Schizosaccharomyces pombe: one gene and its partner. Changing the gene in region 1 together with any one later gene gives a genetic interaction. Each region holds a gene or a part of one and is shown in the gene's direction. Other genes may lie near its edges.

Region 1 (8,397 bases):
TAACATCCGGTGTTATTGAAAGCTATGGACTTCATAAGAGAGTTGAAGCCGTAAAATCTACGAGAAACATTGGGAAGAAAGACATGGTTTACAATTCATATATGCCAAAAATGACTGTTGATCCAGAAGCTTACACAGTTACTGCAGATGGTAAAGTTATGGAATGTGAGCCTGTAGACAAACTTCCACTTTCCCAGTCTTATTTTATCTTTTAATTATTTAGATTTTGATTAAGGAAGATAATGCGAGTTTAATTAATATGAAATTTTGTTTGTAAATTTCTTTACAGTTGTTTGAGGCCGAGAAATTCCATATCAAATTTTAAAAGACCAATTACTATTTAAGTTTATAAATATAATATACTCCCGCTTATGAGTTGGTGGATCAACCTTGTTTGCTTACTACCCACGTTTTTGCTTTAAGGTTATATAATTCTTTTCAAACACTAACAAATATTTGTCACAAATTCATATACTATAAACATTCAGAAAAGTTGTATTTGAGCTAGTGTACAGTCGTATTCGTTAAGTCAGAGTGAACTTCGTCGCTTACCAAAGCGGTAAACAACACCTACAATCAACGTTCGATGAGCCTAAGTGACTAAGCTGTGAAGAGATTAAGACTTTCATGAAAGCGTTATTAATAATTTCTTTTAATCATGAAAAAGTTCTTGTCATTCAAGCCTGCTGAAGACTTCCTTCGATCTCTTAAAAAATCATCACAATGGTTTCTGCTGATCATTATTGTCGAGGTTACCATTACATTATCTTTTGAAGGATATGTTTTTCATCATTTTCGTTTAATCACAGTCGAAAAAATTGATGTCTTTATAAATGCTATGGTGCCGTCTACATTTGCACTGTTTTGTATGGCATGTCCCTATTTACTTTATACGGCTGTAGATGCATTATTAAACAAGGATGTAATACAGGTAAGTTAATTGTCTCCAAAAAAAGCTAAAATGGCATTGTTTGTCTTTTGTCGATTCATATGGTTGACGCACTTGAGATCTAAACCAATTCAAGCTAACCGAATTATACGTTTAGATGTCAGCACTTCTTATCTTTCATGTAAGCCTTTTTTGCCTATCTGTTGTCCAATATTTTCAAATATTTTCAAAAGACCCCAGAGCGATTTTCCTCTCCGCTTTATACTTAATAGATCCCATTCGCCTCGTCACATCATTTAACTATCACGAAAGAATAGTTGTTAATTCTCATATGTTGTTATTTTATCTGAAGCCATTTGTAATCGCTCTTCCGGTGCTAATCGGCGTTACTTGTATCTTGCTGAGCTTCTTGGTTTACAAAATGAACAAAGCATTTGGATGGATTATGTATCAGCAGCATGGTCCTGATCTTCGAATGAGAAGAAGGTATCTCGTATACAAAATATTCATGTCCTTAATTAAGTCGGACTATTATTTTTGCCTAACGGCTACTGTTCAATATGCTATCTTCTTTTCTACCATAAGTCGTGTTGGGCTAGCACTAACCATTCTTGTCTTCCCCTGTACAATCGCAACTTTGATGACCTGTAGGTATGCTGTTTACAGAGAAAATCGTGCATTGTTAGGGATTGTACAGTTTATGTTTATGTGTGGACTTGCATATTTTATTTACAACTGTGCTAGGCTATACCTAGGCGTCGACTATGGGGATATTGCTGTTGCAAATATTTGTATGTTGGTGTTTTCAATAGTCACCATAATTTATTTGTTCACAACCATAGTCGTAGGGTTTTATTGCATTTCCAACTTCGGTTATGGTCTTAGGGAATATTTACGCTATATCCATCAAAAGCAAAAAGTCAATGCGGCTCCTGCTGTTCCTAAAGTTCGCATGCCATTGGACGACTGAGAGCTCTCTTTCTTTTGGCATTCTAAAAATGTGTTTTCTTGTTGTTTATCAATGTTCCTCATCTCTCTGTCCTAATCATCGTTTGTTTTCTTACGCCTGTTGAATTTACTGTTTTCCATTTCGTGTTTCCTTGCATTCCTTGGTAGGTGAATATTTTGTGCTCCGATCTCTTGTACTGTGTTTTTCCTTCATTTGACCTTTAATACATATCTTTTTTGTCTTTGTTAAAATTTATTGCTTTCGGTCCTTCTTTTGAAAGCTCAGTCTTCTTGCCTATAATTCACAATTTGAAAAAAAAAAAAAAAAAAATCTCCTAATTCATGCTTCATTGCTCATATCATTGCTATTATTAAAAACAAAATTCTCAACATGCTATTACAATGATTTAGTTGAGTAAACATTTTGAGCTGGTTCTTTTCTTATACAGGAAAAAAGGTGATAGCTAATTGGAGTTGACCATTTCCTTACGGAAGTTTTAGAACGAATATATCGTTCTGTGGCCTACAAGGATTTTAAGTCAAAAAATTCTATCATTTTTCTGGTTAAGAAGGAATGTTTATTAGTTGTTAACTCACACTTGTGATATTGTTGATTGTAGTGATTGAACCGTTTCTTTAAAAGTTTTTTGAATGATCTGAACTAATTTGATACAAATAGTTAAGTCTAGTCTTTTCTGTTTATTAATAATCCTAATTTATTAATAATGCTAATAAATAAATTAATTGTATAACGTAAACATATATTTTTATTTATATACCGCGTTTGAATAATAATACCCAGTTTTGGGACAATAATGGGATACCGTTCCTAATTACCTCCATAATTTGATTTCTTGTTTTAATATGACGATATATCGTACTAAGTCATTGCTGCCTTCTGCCTCTTAATTCTGACTTAAACTGAAAAACAAAATATTTCGTGATTTATCGTTATTAATTATTTAGCAGGATTTCTACAAAATTTGTTATAGAAATTACAACGTAAGCAAGCATTCTCGGCACTATCTTTTTACCGTAATTTGCCTCACTCCCTTATACGTACTGCATTTGTTTTGATTCCCTACCTGCTTGAATGTGCGATTCCAATGAATGACCCTCCATAGGCTCTAGGTGAAACCTTATTTTACACATATAAAACAAGGTGAATTCCATTTCAACACTTGAATTCCTAACCTAACAACTACCATCCATAAGTATTTTGGTATATTTACAAAAATTGAGTGTAATTCACTCTTATAATCGATACTTCTGATTGTCATTAGCGTCGTTGAGATCAAAACAAAACAATTTCCAGGATTTTGAAATTTGGCTTTTAAACAGCTGAATCTTTGGTTATTTTGTTGAAGTTTCTTTGATTTAATATCTTTTCACCCCCCTTTCACCTCTATTCAGTTTAATTTAATCATTTGACTCTTTCTTCTTGCATCGGTTCGTTCGTGTTCGCTTTACTACTAACTTACCTACCTACATTTGTTCTCCTTATCCTTAATTCTTTTACAGATATAACAAAACGTCTGCCAAAGTCAACACACTCGGGTTTTGTCATTTAATAGGGCAAAACGCTACTCTACTTGGGATTTTCATTATATTTACTCTCATTCATATTCTTCCGTTTCTGTGACTAAATCACCATAAAAAAACACCTTCCTTCCCCGGAAAACAAATAAGCAAACAACACTTTTTTTCGAAACACATTGTTTAAACAAAGTTTACGCCCTTTTATTATTGAAGATTTTCACCCGGTCAACCTTTTACCCTTTTCCTATTTCGCAAATTCTGTCTCTTTTTTTCGTCACAATTTTGGTCTACTTTGCTAAAATCAAGTCGCGCATACATTCATCATTCCGGCTTTTTTTTTGCAATCATCATTCCATATCTTACCGATATCTGTGATCCTTGGGTTTGTAAATCTGTTACTGAGCAGTTACATATTTGTCACAAGAACAACCACTTTTGGTTGATTCATTTTCTTATTTAAAAGTAAAAAAGAGTGTACATTCAACAAATTAAAATTATCTTTTAAGCCCAAAAAAGCGTTTTTGAGCATATTCTGATTATTTATCTGTCGCCCAGATTCTTCATTGAAAGATTTCTTTTTCTTTTCTTTTTTTTCTTGTTTTATCGCTTTTGAATTTGACTTTTACTAGTTCAACGTTTTAATATTTCCTTCCTCTTCTCTTCTTTTTGTTGATACAATGCCGTCTCTTCTGAGTTCACGCATTCGCAATGCCGAATTTGCCAAAAAAATTGTTACGGATCCTGCCAAGTTGGTTCCGTACTTTAAAAATGGGGACTATGTTGGTTGGTCTGGTTTTACTGGTGTCGGTTATCCTAAAATGATTCCAAACGCGTTAGCAAGACATGTCGAAGAGAACAATTTGCAAGGAAAATTGCGTTTTAAATTGTTCGTTGGTGCCTCGGGAGGTGCTGATACGGAATGCAAGTGGGCTGAATTGAATATGATTGAGCGCCGGTGTCCTCATCAAGTAGGAAAGCCAATTTCTAAAGGAATTAACTCTGGCAGAATTCAGTTTTTCGACAAGCATTTATCCATGTTTCCCCAAGATTTACTTTATGGCTACTATACTCGTAATCGTGAAAGTAATACAATTGACACAGCCATTATTGAGGCCACAGCCATTACCGAGGACGGCGGAATTGTTCCCGGCGCATCAGTTGGTGCGAGTCCGGAACTTATGCAACTTGCGGAAAAGATTATCATCGAGGTGAACACTGCCATTCCTTCTTTTGAAGGACTTCATGACATTGTCGAAATTCCCAACCCCCCACATCGTACTCCAATAAACATCAATCGAGTTGACGATCGTATTGGAAAGCCATACATCAAAGTGGATCCCAAAAAGGTTATTGGAATAGTGGAGGCTGATTATGGAGACATCACATGCGCTAACTCTCCGCAAGATGAGACTTCGCAGGCTATTGCAGGCCATTTAGTTGACTTTTTCCATCATGAAGTATCTGTAGGGCGTCTTCCCAAAAATCTTCATCCTTTGCAATCCGGTATTGGAAACATTGCCAACGCTATTATCGGTGGTCTTGCCCATTCTCCCTTTAAAGATCTCGAAGTGTGGACAGAAGTCTTACAAGATACTTTCTTGCCTCTCTTTGACTCTGAAAAGTTACGTTTTGCTACTGCTACCTCAACCCGTTTTTCTCCTCAGGGATTTGAAAAATTCTACTCAAACTATGATTACTACAAGGAAAGAATTTTGTTACGCCCTCAAGTAATTTCCAATCACCCTGAAATTATCCGCCGTCTTGGTTGCATCGCTATGAATACTCCTGTGGAAGCCGATATTTACGCTCATGCCAATAGTACAAATGTTTTGGGAAGCAGAATGTTGAACGGTTTAGGTGGTTCTGCTGATTTCTTGCGTAATGCGAAATTAAGTATTATGCATACACCATCGGTTCGTCCTTCGAAGAAGGATCCTACTGGTATCACTTGTATTGTTCCTATGGCTACCCATGTTGACCAAACCGAACATGATTTGGATATTTTGGTTACAGAGCAAGGATTGGCTGATTTACGAGGCTTGTCTCCTACCGAACGTGCTCGTGAGGTTATTGACAAGTGTGCTCATCCTGACTATAAGCCTCTGCTCAGAGAGTATTTCGATATTGCCGAAAACTACTGTTTAGCTAGAGGAGCTGGTCATGAACCCCATATTCTTGCCAATGCTTTCAAGATGCAGCTCAACCTTTTAGAAAAAGGAACGATGAAGATCGATCATTGGTAAATTTAGTTATCAGTTGTTATAGCCACTTTTACTCTTTCTAAGGGTTTTCCAAAACCTTGTTACGACTAAAATACAGCTTCTTCGTGCTGTTATGACTTAATGTATTTCATTTTTACATTAATTTAATTTACGAAATAAAAAAAATCCGTATACTAAAATTAGTGTTTATAAGTTAAGGAAATTAGTTTTGAGTAAGTAAATCCAACAATCATAATGCGTATGAATTTTCCAAGATACACAGAAATGAGCGCGTTTATTTTATGAGCAGTATTCCTTTGAAGATTATTAATCTTTAGTTCCCCTGCAAAATTCGTAAGTTGGCTGTTTAGTACATACCTCTATATTACGTTGAGTTGTGAGTCAGCATTTCTGCTATTAACCTAGTATCAAACCTGCTTACTCAGAGAGGAGTACCACCAAAATTTAGGAAAGGATAATCAAGTATAGAAATTATCGTACAGTTTTGTCTGGATCAATAGTTTCCATTCACCAGTATTTATTCTGCAAATTATAATCTTTGTCGCACCACAATAACCTGAAAGTAAATATGGCCTCAAAAGTCGATTCATCTCATGAGTTCCCCAGCCAAATCAAGAGATGCTTGTCCTCATCCAAATATATTCAACTAGCTACTTGCTTTCATGATCAGCCTCACTCTTCTTTGATGACATTTACCTATTTACCTGCAGGAAGCGCTGCCCCTTACGAAGTGGAGGATTGCATTATTTTGTCAACAGGAGAAAACAGTAAAAAATATTTTAACATCAGTTCGGTATGTATCATATTTAAAAGTTTAACTTATCCTTGATCCTGATTGGTATTTTCTTTTTTCTAACATGATGACTAGAATCCTCGAGTATCATTACTAGTTCATGACTGGACCACTAATCGTCAAGAAACAGATCCTGATGCCTCCTCATTGTACACCTTACTTTATAAAATGAATCAGGCTCAGTTCTCGAATACATCAGTGACCTTGAATGGCCTTGCTACCGTTCTTCCAAAGAATAGCAAAGAAGAGGAATTCTTTAGAGAAAAGCATTTAAACACTAATGACAAGGGTAATACGAAACAATACGTGGAGGGTGAGGATATGAGAATTATCAAGATAAAGTTGGAAAGTGCGAGAATTTGTGATCAGAGACTCAACAACGTCCAAAAATGGAATGCAAGAGGAGATGAGACTCCATTTTGAGTAAACAAATGTTTTATGAGTGTCACTTTGCATTTTCTATTTTTTAAAAATCAATAATGTTTGAAGAATTTTTGAATGCTTCGTAGATCTAACCATAATGTATAATCGTGTGTATGATACATGGGAATTTTGTTGGCTACATGCTTTGCTAGACAGCCTAGTGGAAAGCGTCTTGTTTATACGTGTGTTAAATAAGCATAGAAAAAGTGAGGAAACGGTGTGACTTTAAGCTACCTAAATAAGACCAAACAAAAAGCAGGGAAATAAATCATGATTCGTTGAATAAGTGTATTATCATAAGTTGTTCAGTATCAATTGTACCTTTTTCTTTTTTTGAAGTTATCGGAAACACTAAAGTGCTGAGTGCTAAAATTATCATTTAGCTATCCTCATCCTCGGTCTCCGCATCTCCTCGATAATTCGGATCGTTTCGTAAAACGTTATTGTCCGACTGATTAGATTCTGCTGGTTCTTCTTCTTCATCCTCCTCCTCATCTTCACTTACAAGGTCCAAAGGAACAATACAAAAGTCTACAAACGTACAAAGCCCTTCTTGACCGACAAGCATGATTTGAATGCTCAAAGTTCCATTTTCATCAATACGTAGGTTTACTTTAGAACCCACTTGTAATGCTTTCAGCGCATGTCTTATTAATGAGAAGCGGTAGGAATAAGTGTTTTCAGAATCAGTTTCAAAAGACTCTAAAACACTTTTCTCGTTTGGATATTCTATTTCCGTAGTGGATAATGCCCCTACACATCTCAATAAGAAGGTTGATTTTTGGGATGATGTATGAATAATTAAATTTTCGCCCATGTTATTGTCTAATTCCACCAAGGCATCATATAGCCAGTTACTTTTCATAATGATCTTCGTGCACAATGTGCTTGCAAGTCTATTGATGTCAACGTCGTCCTCACATTCCATAGTCAACAGTTCACAAGCCGTAGCATAACCAGCCATTTCCTCTACTCTTTATTTTTGTCAGTACAGAATGTTAATGATAAAATCCTTACTCCCATATAAATGGACAGCCGGGTCCATTATACTGTACTTTGCAGATAACGCCTCGTTTGTGCATTATGTTTACAGTGGGTTGATCCCAGGCACTAGTTGAAATCCGTTCTTTTCCATCTGTATAAATTGATAATGATTGTAAAAGAGGTGAAATCATCGTCTGGAACATATATGTATCCCCATCTGAATCACCCTGAAAATTAAACGTTTGAAACAACGACTTATCAAGAAAGGCGTGAGCTTAATGTGTGAGTGAACAATAAAGAAAAAGTGAATGCATTTCAAGAATCGCATTAATATATGAAACTTTATTAAGTAGCTTCAAATTTTTTAACGATCATAGATGTGAGACTCGACTTGTCTTACCCTGCAAAGACTGCGATTCCTCCACTGCAAACCGTAGTCCACGACTTGTGATTTCGATAGTACATTCCTTTGAAAAATCAATGCATCGTAATGTTGACTGAATCTGCTTTAAGCATACTGTTTCTGCTTGAAACATGCGAATTTACGTCCAACAATAAAAAATTGGTTATATGCTACAACTTGAACACCCGTAAATGCT
Region 2 (6,223 bases), on another chromosome or scaffold:
TAATATGAAAGAAGGAAACCGAAATTGAGAAAAAACTATTTTTATTTAAGTTAAAAAGAGAAGAGAGACAAATAAACCAATTTTTCAAAAGGCTTAGCAATATGAATTTGTATACTAAATGCAAAGTTATTGGTAAAAAAAAAATAGAAATATTGCTAAAAAAAGATAATCTAAGTGAATAATTTCATTAATTATTTTAATAAAAGAAGGTTTTATAATTAAAGCTTGGGATAATCTTTAAAAAAAAAAAAAAAAAAAAATTTAATCAGTTAACCTTAATCTTAATTTTTTTATTTTTTTGACTTTATTATATTAGTCAATTTTATTTTTCATAACTTTTTCTCCAATGCTTCAATTTTTTTGTAGTTATTAAAATTGGGTAAAATACATAAAAATAATCAGTTCAATCAACGACTTAGCATACAGCCTTTTTCCCTTTATGTTTAATTCGTAGGCTTTTTTAGTTTTCTTCGTTGTTATATCTTTAATCATTCCTTTTAACTATTGTTACTTTTTCAAGAATTTAAAGCTTCTTTTGTTTTTTACGTATCTGTAATGATCAAAATCAATTTGTCATTGTCAATCCTGACTTTTACAGCTTTACTTTTTTTCTTTTACTATCAACCAAAGGCAGCCCTCTCTCTTCGTTCTACATTGCTCAAAATTTTCACCATTAGTGTACTCTTCATATTTCTATCTTCTACGGTGGATATACATTAGTTTTTATCATCACGTTTAAATTGCAGAAAATAGAGCCCGACTGTAGGCAAGCTCTTAATTCAAATTTTTTCAGGCAATAATTTCTGTTCTCAACTGACGGGAAATGTATAATCATTACGAATTCGAACATCTGCAACTGAGCTCATTGATGCAAGAGGACATAAACAGTAAAATTTATATAGTTCTTCTGTAAATTTTCAAGTAATAAAAAAAGCTTTCTTTAATCATTTTATTTAATATCGATTGCTATTGTTCGCAGATCATATAACACAGCAGCCACTGAGTCTACTATCCAAGGGATTCTGTGTTGTATGCGATATCAATTGGTCTGAAATTCTCAAAAGGATTTCATTAGTTTAAAGCATTAGATCCATGTTTAATGCACATCTCTTCATTAGAAGTACGAGCTTGGCGGCTAAGCTATTGCATTTCTGAATTTCATAACGTACCTTGATAGAGCAATATTAGAGTACCTTACCACAAAGATTGTTCATTACTGCCACTAAATGTTTGAGTTTGAAATTTATCAATCAAAAATTTTGACTAACCAACCTATTTTTATACAAAACTTACCTTGACGGTAATGCTTGAATTTTGTTACTAAAATGAACGACTAAACCACTTATGAACAAGTTGAACATATCGATCTGTTTTGTAAATTATTTATACTGCGTAACAAGTTATGCTAAAACATCACGGATGAGTATTTTTAAAGCTGACGCATCAAAACGATTATAGTAAATCCGCCCATGTCAAAACGTTACTTGGAAATAAAAAGGTTATAAAAGAACACTGAAGTTAATTTTGCACTTGCCTAGCCGTACATATTGTACCATATATCTTTAACAAAAATAAATTTGTGTACGGCTTAGTATATTATGTGTTGAATAACGACAATACTTTCCATGCAGTTTTTTCGCTTTACTCTTTGCGGCATCTCATAAATAACCAAATTATGTTAAATCATACATGTAAGAAAGCTTGACAGATAAAAATAAACATAGACAAAAAGAAGCAAGAGATAATACAATACATCTCAAGTTTATTGCTCAGCTTGGTAACGTTAGGTAACGTGCTATAGAATACGTGAATTTATTTAAAACGTTATCTAAATTTTGCTGTGCAATTGAAAAGCGTCATGTAGGCAACATATTCATGAATAGAAGTTGATCAAATTGCTGATTAACAAATTCAAAAATTAGATAAAAAAAAGATTTATACCAATATAGGAATATAGTATGAGTAGATAATTCGTGAGATTAATATTTCTGTAAAAGTTAAGTTTATGTCGCATAATGTCGAGAAGCAGAACGGCAGTATAAAAGCGATACTAAACGGCGATTAGCAGTAAAAGAATATTCAACAATAATGTTAATTTTTTAATCAAGCAAATGAGAAAAAAATGAATCCAAAAATGATTAAATATAAATGCAATTATTAGCACTATCATTTTGAAACAAGTCCAAAACGACGTTGGCTACAATGACAAATATTAGAAACAGCATATTCTTGTTCAATGCTTATAGTTGGTAGTCATGAGTAGAGAATATAAATACAATGCACACGATGTAGATTTGATGTGGGTAAATGAGCAAGTAATTATTGATCGTGGAAATGAAATACGACCTATAAGCCTAAAGCATAATTGATCACTAAAAAGTGCTCTTTTATCTCCAACTTGAAGAAAAAGTAGAACAAATAAAAAGGCATCACAAGCTGCCATACAAAAACTATCAAACTTTGTTCAGCTAAATGTTTTGTGCATAACGATGATTAGGAAATTAGTGTGGAAAAGTTACAACCTTATGTACTGTTTCGGAAAGATACAGTAAAACAAACAATTCAAGAGAGATCTAAAGAGACAATCAGGTTAATGGCCTTTAATAATAAGAAATTACCGCGATGTACAACTTAAGCAGGTGTGACAAAAAGTACAAATGTACGTTCGAGCAATTAAAACTACTATTGACATATCATAAAATAATGTCAAATGTTGCAAAAAATAACAAACAAATTTGTTTTCTCGAGGTCAAGCGAAAAGATATTTACATGTATGAAAGTCGAATAATTGTGATAATAGCGAGGATTTATGAACAAAGACTACTCGAAAATACAAAACTTATTTCTCCCTAGTATATGAAGATCAAAATAACTTAAGCTAGTTGAAATGCATGCAATGTGTTAAACGTGGAATCATGAATTCGCTATGCATTTTATTGGCGTTTTCTTTTTCGTGTATCCGCGCTAGTACACTAGATTACGTTGCCTCTCACCATACATCGAATGTCCCTACTATCATCCTCCTACTTATATTTATAATCAATACGTGATCATCAGATCATTCCCTTACACGCTCCCATTTCAGATTATGCATCGTAATACTAACAAACTATTTTGTATAAGCGAAGTAATTAACTCCATTCGATGATGAGCGATCAGCTTCTGGTATTATTGTTCGCATACATATCTTGTAACATTTGTTACTCAATAGAAATTTAAGGTAACATTGATCATAAAGTAAAAGCTTGCCGTACTAAATTGTATCCGCCTAACGTTTGCGAATTTTGCAGCAAGCATTGTTTCGTATTTAAGATCACTTTTGTAGACAGATCTTGAGATAACGCGACAAATTTTGGGGCTTTTAAAGTTCGGAATTCTTTCTTCCGGATCAGAGATGTGTAGTGCGCCAGAGTAATATATGATTTAATATTCTTCCGTGTAGTACACTTTTCCATGCGAACTTCAATTTTTACAGCTTTTGTTTGAACTTTTTTTATTTTCTGCAATGTATGTCAACTATATTGGACTCTTTGCTTTCGTTCAAATTTCGTTGACGTTAGCTTATCCTCCCGGTCGTGTGGAGATTTCTGAAATATATGATTTTGAAGAATCTAGTTCGTATAAAGGACAAGATATTGATACATCCGTACTTTACACTTTGTCTAAAAGGAAACCTGCGCTCGTAAAACGAAGTACCGACGCTTCGTATGCCCCTTTCAATGTGACCTGTTCAAACGACAATCTGTTGAGGCCGGCTTCTGAAGGTTTAAATGAGGGCGAACAGAGCTATATCAACAAACGTATTTCTAAGGTTAACAGTGAACTCCGATCATTTATTTCTAAGACAGGTTTGAATGTTGACTTGGATAAGGTGGTTAACAGCTCGGATGGTCCACGTTTAGGAATTGCATTCTCAGGTGGTGGGTTACGGGCGATGGTTAATGGAGGTGGTGCATTCAATGCTTTTGACTCAAGATTCGAGAGTGACTCTCCACTTTCTGGTCTGCTGCAATCCGCGATGTATATCAGCGGTCTTTCTGGTGGTTCATGGCTTGTTGGATCAGTGGCTATTAATAATTTTACGAATATAACATACTTACGTGATAATGTCTGGAATTTGGAACATAGCGTTTTTGCTCCTCATGGGGATAATGTCATTGAAAATTTGAATTATTATAATGACTTGCGCAAAGAAATTGATCAAAAGAAACATGCGGGCTTTGACTGTTCTTTGACGGATTTATGGGGACGTGCTTTGTCCCGTAAACTTGTTGATGCTGAAAGGGGAGGACCAGGCATTACATATTCCAGTATGAGAAATCAAAGCTGGTTTCAAAATGCTGATTATCCTTATCCCATCATCGTTGCGGATAGCCGATTAGAAGAAGAAACGGCCATCCCTGCCAATACCAGTATCTTTGAGTTCACGGCGTATGAATTTGGTACATGGGACAATGGAATTAAAGCATTCATTCCAATGGAATATGTGGGAACTCACTTGTTGGATGGGGTTCCACCCGATAAGTCTTGCATTCATAACTATGATAATGCAGGTTTTGTTATGGGCACTTCAGCTACTTTATTCAACTCTTTTCTTCTTGACTGGAATGAAAATGTCAAAAAGAATGATACCTATTACGATATTCTTCATGCGATTCTTGAAGATCTTTCTAAGCATCAAGATGATATTGCTCCTTATCCCAATCCTTACCAAAATTATACTACTTCCAATACCTCTGTAGTGAATGCGTTCGAACCGTATGATACTATTGATCTAGTTGATGGTGGTGAGGATAGGGAAAACATTCCCCTTTGGCCTTTGTTACACCCACAACGATTTGTGGACGTTGTATTTGCGATTGATTCGACTTATAATGATCCTTATGGTTGGCCCCTTGGATCTTCCATTGTTGCTACATATGAGAGAGTTGTAACCTTTAATGCGAACAAGAGTGTTGATGTGCGTGGATTTCCATATATTCCGGACGAAAACACTATTATCTCTTTGGGACTAAACACTCGTCCTACGTTTTTTGGATGTGACGGTAAAAATACTACAGCAGGAAATCATGATGTAGACAATAATACCCCACCTCTCCTTGTATACTTTCCAAATTACCCTTGGACTTATTATTCCAATATATCGACATTTACTATGAGCATGGACGACAAGATGGCTAATGGAATTCTTGAGAATGCATTTATGTCGACTACGCAAAACAATAATGAATCTTTTGCAGTTTGCTTAGCATGCGCTATAATTCAACGCTCTTTGGAACGCAAGAAATTGAGTACTCCTACCCAGTGCTCTTCTTGTTTCCAAGAATACTGTTGGGACGGAACTCTTGCAACTAGTACGGCTTCTGTATATGATCCTACCGTAATGTCTGCTGCGACAACATCTCGTGCACCGTCAGGCACAACCTCGGGTACAGCCTCTAGTACAACATCTTCATCTGTATGTTCTCAAAAATTCACGTTGATTAAACTATTTTTTTTTTCATCGCTAACTTTTGTTCTAGGTAGCATCAGCCACTCCCACTCATAAACATTGGTGGGACTCGATTTTCGAAGCGAAAGAAAATCCGTAAAAAGATTCCATTGATGTTGTTTCAATGGATTCTCAGGCATGTGAGAAATTTAGAATAGATAGATTTACCTTTATTGTACTTGGTTACGAATTCGTTATGAAAGAGAACTAAGGATTTTCCTCATTCGTGAGACTGCTCAGTTAAACCCTTTACGTTTGATGGAGCTATGTAAACGGGTAAATGAATAATTTGTTATCTCTAAACTTTTTTAGATAAATGCAACCGGTCGAATGGATGAACAGGCTTAGTTGGCTCAATCTGAGATCGATGTGCATTCACGTAAAGACACGAAACGAAAGAATGTAAGCATGAAAACGATTAAATACAACATTGCTTTAAATTGATATATACGTACAATTGGGAATCACAAGTTGAATGAAAAATAGTCCAAGATCGTTGTGCTAATGATGAACATTAAATGATAGATTGTTTTAAAAGCTCCCGGTTTTTTAAAAAATAGATAATAATAAAATTGACTACAAACATTTAAAAGTAAGACAGAGACTTGTTAATTCAATATATGAGGAGTCACTACTAAATATTTTACTGTATTTTGAAACTTCCTAAAGGAAGGAAACTAAATAAATGCTGAAAGATTTATCAACAGTTTGGTACAAAAAACAGTAAAAGAG

What was found. Genes that interact genetically often act in the same process or in processes that back each other up.
Region 2: mutations in ach1 (region 1) and SPOM_SPBC1348.10C together harm fitness more than expected from each alone (negative genetic interaction), as found in Schizosaccharomyces pombe (one large-scale study listed by BioGRID).

What each region holds. Positions count from the first base shown.
Region 1 is NC_003424.3:4,978,556-4,986,952, reverse strand, and holds ach1 (acetyl-CoA hydrolase), read left to right. Parts: upstream 1-3,795; 5' UTR 3,796-4,053; coding exon 4,054-5,619; 3' UTR 5,620-5,738; downstream 5,739-8,397. Other genes in the region: nickel-dependent urease Ure2, read left to right, coding at 1-215; SPOM_SPAC1952.10C (uncharacterized protein), read left to right, coding at 659-931, 1,047-1,859; SPOM_SPAC1952.08C (pyridoxamine 5'-phosphate oxidase), read left to right, coding at 6,167-6,391, 6,467-6,814; checkpoint clamp complex protein Rad1, read right to left, coding at 7,194-7,788, 7,832-8,072, 8,199-8,334. UniProt on the Schizosaccharomyces pombe protein: Presumably involved in regulating the intracellular acetyl-CoA pool for fatty acid and cholesterol synthesis and fatty acid oxidation.
Region 2 is NC_003423.3:25,655-31,877, reverse strand, and holds SPOM_SPBC1348.10C (phospholipase), read left to right. Parts: upstream 1-3,505; coding exon 3,506-5,458; intron 5,459-5,522; coding exon 5,523-5,591; 3' UTR 5,592-5,723; downstream 5,724-6,223. UniProt on the Schizosaccharomyces pombe protein: Catalyzes the release of fatty acids from lysophospholipids.